Linked DNA regions of Arabidopsis thaliana. The protein of the gene in region 3 binds, or shares a complex with, the protein of the main gene of each other region. Each region holds a gene or a part of one and is shown on either strand. Other genes may lie near its edges. The genes, in order: FRL1, SUF4 and AT2G30120.

Region 1 (3,754 bases), on a different chromosome or scaffold from region 3:
ATCTCGAAGGTGTAATCTCTTCTTGCCTTGACTGCTTTCTCGCCGGAGGAAACATCTATCTTTTCGAGTACAGTGTCTCTCCAGCTGCATTTATCGCCAAACCTCGACGCGGCACATGCACTATAGCACCTTCGGATCCCTGCGATGAAGTCATTTCCCGCGCCAAATACCTCTTATTGCGGAATGGGTTTGGTGATTACCATGCTTTGGAAAACAATTGTGAAGATTTTGCAATATATTGTAAAACAAGCTTGCTGGTCGGAAAAGACTATGTGTTGGGAAGGGGCGGTCAAGCCAGCTCAGTGAGTGCAGCTGCGTGGCTTGCGCAACTTAGTCCTTTCGGCAGCAAAGCTATTCAGCTATTTGCAGATATTGGTATGAGAAAGGATGCTATTAAGGTGCCCGTCGAGAGCCTCGTTCCTCGCGCATATGCTACTGGTACCTCTAGAAATAGAAGGTGATGAGGTTTGAAGACACGCCAACGGGCGGGTAGGCGAATTCTTCGAAGAATCTATAATGTAGGAAACATGATCCAATATTGTAGAAAAATTCACTACTATTCTATATAAACCAAAAAAACAAAGAATGAGATTCCTCAGACATAGAGTTAGAATGATTTTTTTACTTTCCATCAAGGCAAATATTCTACAAAGATAACATTTTACATTGAGGAGATTAAGATCTTATTGTCGAGATGCAGCTAGCTACTGAGAATAATAAGGCGGGTGGTATTGAGGCGGCAACACATATCCAGTTTGCTGAGCATAGTAAAGAGATTGAGGAGTTGCACCTGAACCAAAGAGCCCAGTTAATGGGTTCACAACAACACCAGAAAATGCTGAGGTCATAAGACCATAAGGGTTCAACTGTAAGCCATGATGACTATGCTCAGGCATAAGAAGAGCTTCTGGTCTAGAAAGTAGCTGCTGACTCGGAACTGGAACTTGTGACCCATTTTTGCAGTCTCTAGTCCGCTTTTTCCCCTTTTGCTGTGGCTCTTGCTTGGGAGGATTAGTCGTGTTGCGTTTCCTCAATGCCTTATTTTTCTCCAGCTCTTCTACACGTTCCTCAACTTTCTCCTGAGTAAACTCTGATTCAAGGTTCTGATCTTTGATGATTTTGATCAATGGTTTCAAGGCACTGACTTCTTTATCAGAGGCTTCGTTCTGCGACTTGAGAGAGTAGTTATCTTCCACGCAAACTCTAAGAGCAGCTTCTCTACAGTCCTTAATGTAAGATTTCAAAACAGGGATTGGCTCAAATTCATCAGTCATCCCACACTCATACATGAATTTGACTGCTAAAATTGGTTTACCAGAATCCAAGAGAGTCTTGATGAGTTTCCCAACTCTTTTCCTATCTACACCAATCTTGTTACAAACCAAAGTTGCTTGCTTATACTTAGCGATCATGAAAACGTAATCAGAAAGCTCCTCTGTGTCAAATTCTGATCCTAATTCAAAAGCTGCGACCAAATGCAGAAACACTAACGCCTCGAAAGGCTTGACACCAACCTTAGATTTCCAATGGTAAGCCAGTTTCTTAGCTCTATTTCTCGTATCAACAGTGATATTCGCATTGATCTCAATCAAAACTTCCATTAACAAAACGAAAACTCTCCTTACATCGAATGATCTTCCCGATGATGACGGTGTGTAGTTCGAACCTTCAATCGCGTCAAGCACCATGGACGCCGTATCCGGAGAGTAACGAATCGCTGCAGAAACTTCCTGATTGAGAGGAGTTTCATCATCCCATATCCTAATCAAATACTTAATCAAACCAATTCCGTCAATCTTCTCACACAAGGCTCTCAACTCCGGCTCAACAACGGGTTGCTCCGATACCTCCTCCGAAGACGACGATTTCCCTGCATCAGAAGCGTCGATTCTATACGAATCATGTTCCAAAGGAGATGTAGAGTGGAGGAGGCGGAAACGGCTAGCAAGGGAGGATTGGAGAGAGGAAAAGTGAGAATCGATCTCAGACCAGGAAAGTGAGAAAGACGGTGAAAGGAGAGAGCGATGAGCTTGAAGATCGTCGAAAGCTTTCTTTAGCTTTTCCTTCTTCTCATCAATCTGATTTATCGCGGTGGCGATAGTCTCACTCGCCGTCATTGTTTGATCTCTAAGATTTCTTTGGCTCTCTCCGGCAAGGATATATAAGAACGTTATCGGTTCGGTTCGGTTCGAGTAAGTTTAATAAAACCAGAACCGAATTGTTTTTCACTTGATTTGGTTCGATTTATAGAAATTGAAATGGTTTGGATGAATTCAATTTCGTTTCTACTCGGTTTAGAGCGACCTCTATTAAGACAAAATCGAGACCACACCAGTCTATAGTCTCTCTTTCGAGTCTGCAGCTAGCGTGAAGACGATGAAATCGATGGGAGGAGATAGATAAGCGCGAATTTGAGAGTGAAAATTCTAAATTCAGACCCATTTTCACCGGCGCGAGTCATCGTTGAACCATGTCTTGGCTTCCTGTAGAATCTGATCCTGGTATATATTCTCTTTAACAATTTGGGGTTCCTGTTTTCTGGATATATAAAGAGATGATGTCAGTAACGAGGTTTTGATAGTGGAGCACTAAAAATGTTTGGAAAATAGTCTTGGCTTCCTGTAGAATCTGATTTATGTTTGGATTTTGTCAAATTAGAAGCCAACAAATGTTGAAAATAGTCTTCTCTGCATCTACAAGAGGTGATACTTACTGTGTGAGGATTGGAAAATAAAAGTATTGATGCTTTTTGAAATTATATATCAACAATGGTGTTTGTCTTATACTAAGTGGATTAGTGTCTCTCGATAGCCATTGTGCCATATATGTGAGTAAGACCAATGTCGCTTTCTTGTTTGTTATTTCTTCATATTTTTTGGTTTTCTGTATTCTATATTTTTAGGTATTTTCACTGAGATTATACAACAAATGCAAGTGAAAGGTGTGCAGGTTGAGGAATTGTATTCCTTGGACTTCAACTCTCTGGATGAAATAAGGTAGTTTACTTGTTACTCTTTCATCTTCTATTGTTCGAAACAGAAGAAAAACAAAGTCAAATTTACCTTGAGTTGTCTGATATTTGCAGACCTGTCTATGGATTGATATTGCTTTACAAGTGGCGTCCAGAAGAAAAGGAGAATCGTGTTGTCATCACAGAGCCAAACCCGAATTTCTTCTTTGCAAGCCAGGTCTTTTACTCTCACATTAGATTTGTGACTCACGGATTTTCCAATCATTACCTTTTTTATAAACTATGTGTTTCTTGCAGATAATCAACAATGCTTGTGCGACCCAAGCGATATTATCAGTCCTCATGAACTCTTCGAGTATTGATATTGGCTCAGAACTATCAGAACTGAAACAATTCGCCAAAGAATTTCCTCCTGAACTGAAAGGTTTAGCCATCAACAACAATGAGGCAATACGTGCAGCTCACAACACATTTGCCAGGCCTGACCCGTCTTCCATCATGGAAGATGAAGAATTAGCTGCTGCGAAAAATCTAGACGAAGATGATGATGTGTATCATTACATCAGCTACTTACCTGTTGATGGTATCTTATATGAGCTCGATGGTCTTAAAGAAGGACCCATTAGTCTTGGACAGTGTCTGGGTGAGCCAGAAGGAATCGAGTGGCTCAGAATGGTCCAACCTGTGGTACAAGAGCAGATTGACCGGTATTCGCAGAATGAGATTCGGTTTAGTCTCTTAGCTGTAGTTAAGAACAGGAAAGAGATGTATGTAGCTGAACTG
Region 2 (3,754 bases), on a different chromosome or scaffold from region 3:
ACACAAGAGAGTAACCATTAGCTAAAATGTACAATTAAACAAACATTGCACAAGTTGTAGAAAAATGTAAAAGCTTCGGATTTAAGCACAGAGAAACGGCAAAACAAGTGAGAGCCAATTTTGCTTCAATAGGAGAAACGTAGTAGTGGCAGTTTTATTTTAAATGTATAAATTGAAACAAAGTGTTTTTCTCTTGAAGCTGAACATAGATGGTTTCACTTTTGTCTCATGTAAATATGGTCATATGGATTTTGCTTTATCCACAAGGTATCACACTTTGAAATAACTAAAATAAAAAATATGAATCAAGAAAATCAATAAGCCGCTACATGTCACTTCCAAAATTATGAAATATGAGATTCGAATCTAAGAGGAGTCTTAAACTGTTAAACAGAGACGTGTTTACAGTCAAGAGAAATTTATAACATGGGACAAATTTTATTTTATTTTATTTAATAGCGTTACAAATTTACAATGATCATATTACATAAGGAGGATACAAAAGTAGAAGAAGAGCTAGTTTAAAAGTCCCAAGAGTCCAACACTGATTCATGACTCATCGTCTCTTCTATTTCTGCGCTTCCACTATACAAATTAGAACCATCGATTATTTTAACCTTTAGTTTTTCCAAATAATCTCTTGAGTTTAATTTAAAAAATAATATTTTCAGGACTATATGTATACCTAAACAGTGACAATGATGTTTCTAAGATTTAAAACACTTTATTACCGAAATATATCTCAAAATTTTACTATTTCAAAACGTTATGTTGCTATTTTATTTTTCACCACATTTTCGAAACATTAGCATACCGTTCAATCATTTGAACATTCCATTGTTAATCTATTATTATTATTACACTAGTCAAACTTACTTCAAATTTATTTATACAAAGGGGAATATATTTTATATAGTTAGTAAAAATCTCAATAATCATTAAAATAGATTTTCTTTGACATATTTCCAAAATTGTTAGATTGTTTGTTTGTTTTTACCTTCTGAAAAATGGTTACCTAATGTACGACGAGGTTTGCCGGGACATCGACGGTAACAATTCTGAAGGCACGTGATCGGAATTCTTCCTGTGGTGGCACAACCTAGAATGCAATCTTCATGGCATTGAGCTTTCGTCTCTCCATTGACATTTTCCATTGCTATAACCATTGTCACCACAAACACCATTATAATCATTGAATTCCATTTAGCACCCATATCTTTAACTTTTTTGTTGTTGCAAGTGTTTCATGTACTTAAGAAATAATGAATAGCTATCCTCTATTTATAATCTTTTCTAATAGTTATCTAATTCTTAGCTCTTATCGTCTCTTCTTCTTATTTGTTATAGGAATTGCTCTTCTTTTTTTTTCCTGGTCAAAGTTTCTTTGTAATAGAGACTAGTTACTTTTTTGGTTAATCTTCTTCTGTTTTTTTCTCTATTTATAATCTTTTCTAATAGTTATGTAATTCTTAGCTCTTATAGTCTCTTCTTCTTATCTGTTACATGGATTCCTTTTTTCTGGTCAAAGTTTCTTTGTAAGAGAGATTACTTACTTTGTTGGTTAATCTTCTTCTGTTTTCTCACAGTTTATTTTAAGTTAATTTGAGATTAAGTTAATTTGAGATTTCATTGGACAAAGAAAATTAACTCTTGAAAGAATAAAAAATTATGTCAGAAGTGGGGTTTGAACCCACACCCTCTTACGAGGACCAAAACTTGAGTCTAAGGCCTTAGAGCATCCACATTGGTCACTTATATGTAGATGTCTTTAAATATAAAACTATAAATAATAATAATAAAAAAATTATGAATGTTTTTAGTTTGAGATTTGTGTTTCTGTAGAGACACTTTAAACACAACAAAAGTGAAATGTCTTTAATTTTATTATTTATTTATACTAAAAACATCTATAAAAAGTTGTCTAATGAGGTTGCTCTTAGACCACTTGACCATCCTAACGGATAACATAACCAATACTAATAGTATCATTATATAACTTACTAAGCATTTTGGAAAAATATATAATTAAACAAGAGTTATGGGTTCTTTACGAAATATTACACAAGAAAGTACCTTTTCTTATAAATACAAGATAGTAACCATTAGATAAAGTAAAAATAAATAAAAAACAGAGAATCTGAAGATCGTAGAAGAAATCGAGAAAACGCTTTGTACCAATTAGAAACCCTAGCGAGCGGAGGAAGGAGACAAAGAACGAGACTTTTGAGAGATTGGAGATTTCAATTTTGAGATCAAATCTTGAAATCAACAAATAGGAGAAAGATTTAGTGATGGGTAAGAAGAAGAAGAGAGCTACAGAGAAGGTGTGGTGTTATTACTGCGATAGAGAGTTTGATGATGAGAAGATTCTTGTGCAGCATCAGAAAGCTAAGCACTTTAAGTGTCATGTCTGTCATAAGAAGCTTTCTACAGCTAGTGGCATGGTGATTCATGTTCTTCAGGTTCATAAAGAGAATGTTACAAAGTATGTGCCTTTTCTTTTTACCCTTTCCCTATGGCTCTTTTTGTTGTGTTAGGTTGATTTGGAATATTAGGGTTGTTGCCTCTATGATCTTTGTTCAAGTTCTGATTTTTTTTTTGCTCTTGTTGTGTGTGATTGTCGTTTGATTTCTGTTAGATTGCGCTAATTGTGACTGTTGTGTTGTGGTTTGAATCGGTTGATTGTGTATGTTTGCTGGAATTTGAATCGTTTTTTTGGATTATCTCTTGAATGGGTTTGGTTAATTTGTATATGTCTGGTCATAAACCCTAATTTCTGATTGCAATTTTTGTAAAGAAACAGTCTTTTGCTTTTGCTTTTGCTTGATAGGTTTTTCTTGGAATTTGTGGTACTGTTCAATGTGTTTGCCTGTTGAATTTGGAATTTGATTCCATGACACTACTAACTTTGAAATTATCTACAATTTTCACACCAGAGTTCCTAATGCTAAAGACGGTCGAGATTCAACTGATATTGAAATATATGGAATGCAAGGAATTCCACCCCATGTCTTGACTGCTCATTATGGAGAAGAAGGTATGCATTTGAGATAGTGAGAGTACTGTTTAGATTATGAGCAATTGATTTAGAGAAGTAAGGCGATAAATTTGTATGTCTCTTCATCAAGTGTTGTAGATCTATTGCATCTAGTGGTCATGAATTCGTTTTGATTTTGCATGCGGCTTTTTGCCTTATCAAAGTTATTATATATTATTGTTATGTTTGCTTGTTTCATATGGTACCTTTTGAACTGAAGTCATGTTTTCTGCAGAGGATGAGCCTCCAGCCAAAGTTGCAAAAGTTGAGATTCCTTCTGCCCCTCTTGGTGGTGTAGTTCCTAGACCATATGGAATGGTATATCCGCCTCAACAAGTACCTGGTGCTGTACCTGCACGACCAATGTATGTACTAATTATACTATACTCTCTCTATGGCCGTTACTTGTTGAATTCTTAGATGTTGTCTCTGTTTTTAAAAATCCGATCCATGCTAAATGATGGGGAACTTTTTTTCTTTTAGTTCTCTTGATGCAAAAGGTTCTTGGTTTCTTTAGTTTGTCTCTGTCCTAGAACTTTTCTACTTTTGTTCTTCTATAAGACCACTATAACACCCGTAGTAAACATTTTTTGAAATAGATCGTTATCTAAGATATTGTTGCACTTAACCAACTATGACCCATAAGGTTCTTAGTTTCCCTAGCTTGTTCTCGTGATTTTTCAGGATAGAACTTTGTCCTAGAACCATTCTTTTGCT
Region 3 (3,754 bases):
TGTAAGTTTAAATTTACTAATCAACAAAATAAATGATTATATAAAAAAGAACTACAATTTAATATTTATGATCAGCATATTTTTTCTAATGAATTTTTAAATAGTTGAATGACCAAATTTCGATATATCTACCAACATCGTCAATTGATGATTTTTTTTATAACTAATTTTCAGTGTTTTATTTCTAACTTTTACTCTATGTTTTTACGGTAAGATTAGAAGTGTCAAGACTTGGATATTATTTTGCTTTTTATTAGAATTAGTAAATATAAGGAAAACAGAAAGCTAAATTTTTTTAAAAAAAGCTAACTCGGTATTTCTTCTTCATTTTTGTAACAGAAAAACCCCACAAAATTTGTAACTATGCAAAGTCCGAGTGGAAATATAATTTGAGCTTAGGATCATTAAATCCCTATATAGTTAATTAGTACTAAAAGGAATTATAGAAAAGAAAATGACTCAGTTAATAGGACCACTCTAGAGGAAGAATAAATAGTTTAGGTGTTAATGGAGGGATATATTTTAGAATTAGAACTGTCACATTGGGAAGTGGTTCTTCTTGCTAATGTATTTTAGAATCATTCAAAAGAAAGAAGAACTAAATAATTCTCTAAACTAAACATTTAATCAAAATTTTAGAAGACAAAAAAAGAAGAAGAAGAGAGAACAGACATCTTTGGGCACCTCGGAGAAAAATAAGCATGTGAGACTCGATGCACATCATTAAATGCTTTGAGATGACATGGAAGATTCGGTTCTCGGTATTTGCTCTTTTGTTTCTATTTTATTTTCTTACCCAAAGAAAAAAATAAAATCTTTGGAAACGGTGGGGGAGGAGACAAGAAGCAATGTTTGACTGAGTTCAGTTAAAATTTATTGAAGTCTCTTTTGTGTTGAAGAGTTGGGACAAAAAAAAAAAAAAACTTTAAAGACCTGAGGGTTTGGTTTTTGCTTAAACTTTAGTTGAATGAGTGAAAGAAATGAGTTTCTGTTTATGTCGGAATTTAATAAGTCTGTAAGATTCTGTAAGAAACAAAAAGAAGCAATCTGAAACATCAGAGCTTCGTGCTAATCCGTAGACTTGGACTCTAGCTCTTGCCGCCTCGTCTTTTCTTATTTTACAGTTTTAACTCTACCTTCGATATCAATTAGCATATCATTGATTATCACTTTCTGTCAGTAAAAACTTGTATATCGTTAGAAAAAACACTAATAAATGTAATATTTGGCGATACAAAATTAGATTGTATAGGATTTTGTTTTTCTTTTTTTCAAAAATAAACTATTTATTAGAATTTCCAACTTAGACTATATAGTTTCATAATCAAATTTACGATTACTTTTTGTTTTCCATATGAATATGATTATATATTTAAGAATGTTAAAGAAGACTAATTTTTTCATTTATTCCGGTTTGTATATAAATAGGTTACCATTAGATATGTGTTATCTTGGAGTACTCTACAAATATTTTCTTTACCAATTGAATCATTTCAATCTAAAAAAATACTGAACTAATGTCATTGGTGCTATTTATAATTTGACATATAATTTTATTTAATTGTAAAATTTAAATTCTAATCTTTCTATACAAAATTTAAACAAAAATGTAATTAATCTCGTTTAATTGTAAAATCTAAATTCAAACTCTTATTTATAAACACATAATTTATATTTAAATTTTGTTTAATTAAAAGTAAATAGATTTTGAATATTTAAACTAATATGAATATTTTTAAGATGCACATACTTTTTTTTTTTTTTTGGTAAGGTTTAAGATGCACATACTTTCTCTAGGTATCTAGTAATTTATTCCTTCAACGTCTGAATCGGCCTCAAATTTTCTGATTTGGGCTTAGTTTGGTCCAAGTGGGCTTAATCAAGCATATCATAACTGTAGTTTGGGCTCATAACGTTTTTTTTTTTTTTTTTTTTTTGCGCTGCGCAGTTTAGCTTTTGATGGTACGGCTTATTTTAACAACGAACTCGGAATAAAAAAGCTTTTGACAGAGAGAACGACCATAATTCAATTAGGGAAGTACTTTCACAAACCGGAGAAGATTATCGGAGATCGCAAACTATGGCCGGACGAGATCGTTATATTCCATCATCAGCAGTTTCAACTTCATCATCTTCAAGATTATTAGAATCTCAATTAATCGAATCCGATCGAAATCGAGCTCGATCTGTAATCCTCGAGGATCGAATCGCAATCCAACACCGTGAAATCCAATCTCTTCTCAACGACAATCAACGATTAGCTGTAGCACACATCGGACTCAAAGACCAGCTCAATGTAGCTAAGCGTGAGCTCGAACGGTTACTTGAAACCGCTGTTAAAGTTAAAGCGGAAGGAGAAGCTAAAGTGCGTGAGGTTTATCAGAATGCGTTGAGAATGGAGGCGGAGGCTCGTGTGATTGATGGACTTGGAGCTGAGCTTGGTCAGGTTAGGTCTGATGTACAGAGGTTAGGTAGTGATAGACAGGAGTTAGCTACGGAATTGGCTATGTTTGATGATGAGATGGCTAAGGCTAAACCGAATTCGGATCGAGCTATTGAGGTTAAATTGGAGATTGAGATTCTTCGAGGAGAGATTCGTAAAGGAAGGTGAAAATTTGAATTCTCTTTGTTGTTTTTGTTGGAACATTGGATTTGTTATCTTGTAGTGTATACTCATATGATGGTTTTTTGGATGCTTATGGAGTAGTAATGAATTTGTTTGAGGTTTGGGATATGAAACAGGGCTGCTCTTGAGCTGGAGAAGAAGACACGAGCTAGTAACCTTCACCATGAGCGCGGTATGGAGAAGACTATCGATCATTTGAATCGAGAGATTGTAAAACTTGAGGAAGAATTGGTTGATCTGGAGACTAAAGCTAGAGAAGCAAATGCAGCTGCTGAGGCAGCTCCAACCCCAAGTAATTTCTCTGTCTTTTTTAGCTTTTTGCTTTACACAGTTTAACTGCAAAACCACCTTATAGTTTTGATGATTTGTTGATGTAAGGTCCTGGATTGGCTGCAAGTTATGGAAACAACACCGATGATATATATGGAGGTCAAGGCCGGCAATACCCGGAGGCTAATGGTACTCATGAGGTACACATGAGTCTATAGATAAGTAGTAACTTTACGTGATCATCTGTTAGAAGTTCTCCTAATTTAGCATTATTATGGAGAAGGAGAAGATTGGACTAATTGTTTGTAATGATTGGCATACCAAGTTCTGATTGTCTTACATTCTGAACTGATATCTTAGCAAAATAGCTAGTTCTCAGGGAAAAAAGTTATGTTCATAGGTTAGTAAGTGTCCAACTTGTACAAGTATCCGTTGGTTAGTGAGAATTGTTGTAAACTCATAATTGACTGAATTCAACGCTTATGATAAGATTGCGGTTTTACTTTAACATTGTTCGATTCTAGTAGTGTTTAACATCACACAAATATACACTTCAGGCATATAGAGCATCGGATTGTCTCTCTCAAGACCCATCTACTCCATTGCAGCATCCTCTGAATAATACTCAACATTCTAGTGTGTTGTGATAGTGTCTTGCTTACGTTTGAATAGGCCAGCCATATACTTGATTTGACAATTTTTGTTTTAGTGTATCTTATTTAGCGAGTGTATTCAACCAAATAATTTATTTGATTGAAGTTCGAAGAATTTTTCTACTCTGTATTCTCAGTTCGATTTTTGAGGTTTACATTAATTTACATACCTCATCCAACTATAAACAAACAAGGACAAGAGTTT

Evidence for each region.
Region 1: AT2G30120 (region 3) and FRL1 share a complex: the UniProt entries of both Arabidopsis thaliana proteins name them as parts of the transcription activator complex.
Region 2: AT2G30120 (region 3) and SUF4 share a complex: the UniProt entries of both Arabidopsis thaliana proteins name them as parts of the transcription activator complex.

Annotation. Positions count from the first base shown.
Region 1 is NC_003076.8:5,342,870-5,346,623, reverse strand, and holds FRL1 (FRIGIDA like 1), read right to left. Parts: upstream 2,130-3,754; 5' UTR 2,118-2,129; coding exon 705-2,117; 3' UTR 518-704; downstream 1-517. Other genes in the region: AT5G16330 (NC domain-containing protein-like protein), read left to right, coding at 1-461; UCH1 (Peptidase C12, ubiquitin carboxyl-terminal hydrolase 1), read left to right, coding at 2,471-2,501, 2,903-2,996, 3,086-3,188, 3,269-3,754. UniProt on the Arabidopsis thaliana protein: Required for FRI-mediated up-regulation of FLC transcripts, but not redundant with FRI and only partially redundant with FRL2. Required for the stabilization of the FRI-C complex.
Region 2 is NC_003070.9:11,042,131-11,045,884, reverse strand, and holds the start of SUF4 (zinc finger (C2H2 type) family protein), read left to right. Parts: upstream 1-2,111; 5' UTR 2,112-2,291; coding exon 2,292-2,485; coding exon of another isoform or gene 2,486-2,489; intron 2,490-2,936; coding exon 2,937-3,037; intron 3,038-3,272; coding exon 3,273-3,402; intron 3,403-3,754. Other genes in the region: AT1G30972 (Plant thionin family protein), read right to left, coding at 975-1,214. UniProt on the Arabidopsis thaliana protein: Sequence-specific DNA binding factor that recognizes the 5'-CCAAATTTTAAGTTT-3' sequence. Recruits the FRI-C complex to the FLC promoter. Required for FRI-mediated FLC activation, but has no effect on the expression of MAF1, MAF2, MAF3, MAF5, UFC and CO.
Region 3 is NC_003071.7:12,860,189-12,863,942, reverse strand, and holds the start of AT2G30120 (protein FLC EXPRESSOR), read left to right. Parts: upstream 1-1,971; 5' UTR 1,972-2,080; coding exon 2,081-2,607; coding exon of another isoform or gene 2,608-2,611; exon of another isoform or gene 2,612-2,724; coding exon of another isoform or gene 2,725-2,737; exon of another isoform or gene 2,738-2,742; coding exon 2,743-2,918; intron 2,919-3,004; coding exon 3,005-3,096; coding exon of another isoform or gene 3,097-3,114; exon of another isoform or gene 3,115-3,264; coding exon of another isoform or gene 3,265-3,336; exon of another isoform or gene 3,337-3,453; coding exon 3,454-3,543; 3' UTR 3,544-3,754. UniProt on the Arabidopsis thaliana protein: Transactivator required for FRIGIDA-mediated activation of FLC and for the expression of the repressors of flowering AGL27/MAF1 and AGL31/MAF2. Does not alter expression of known activators of FLC expression.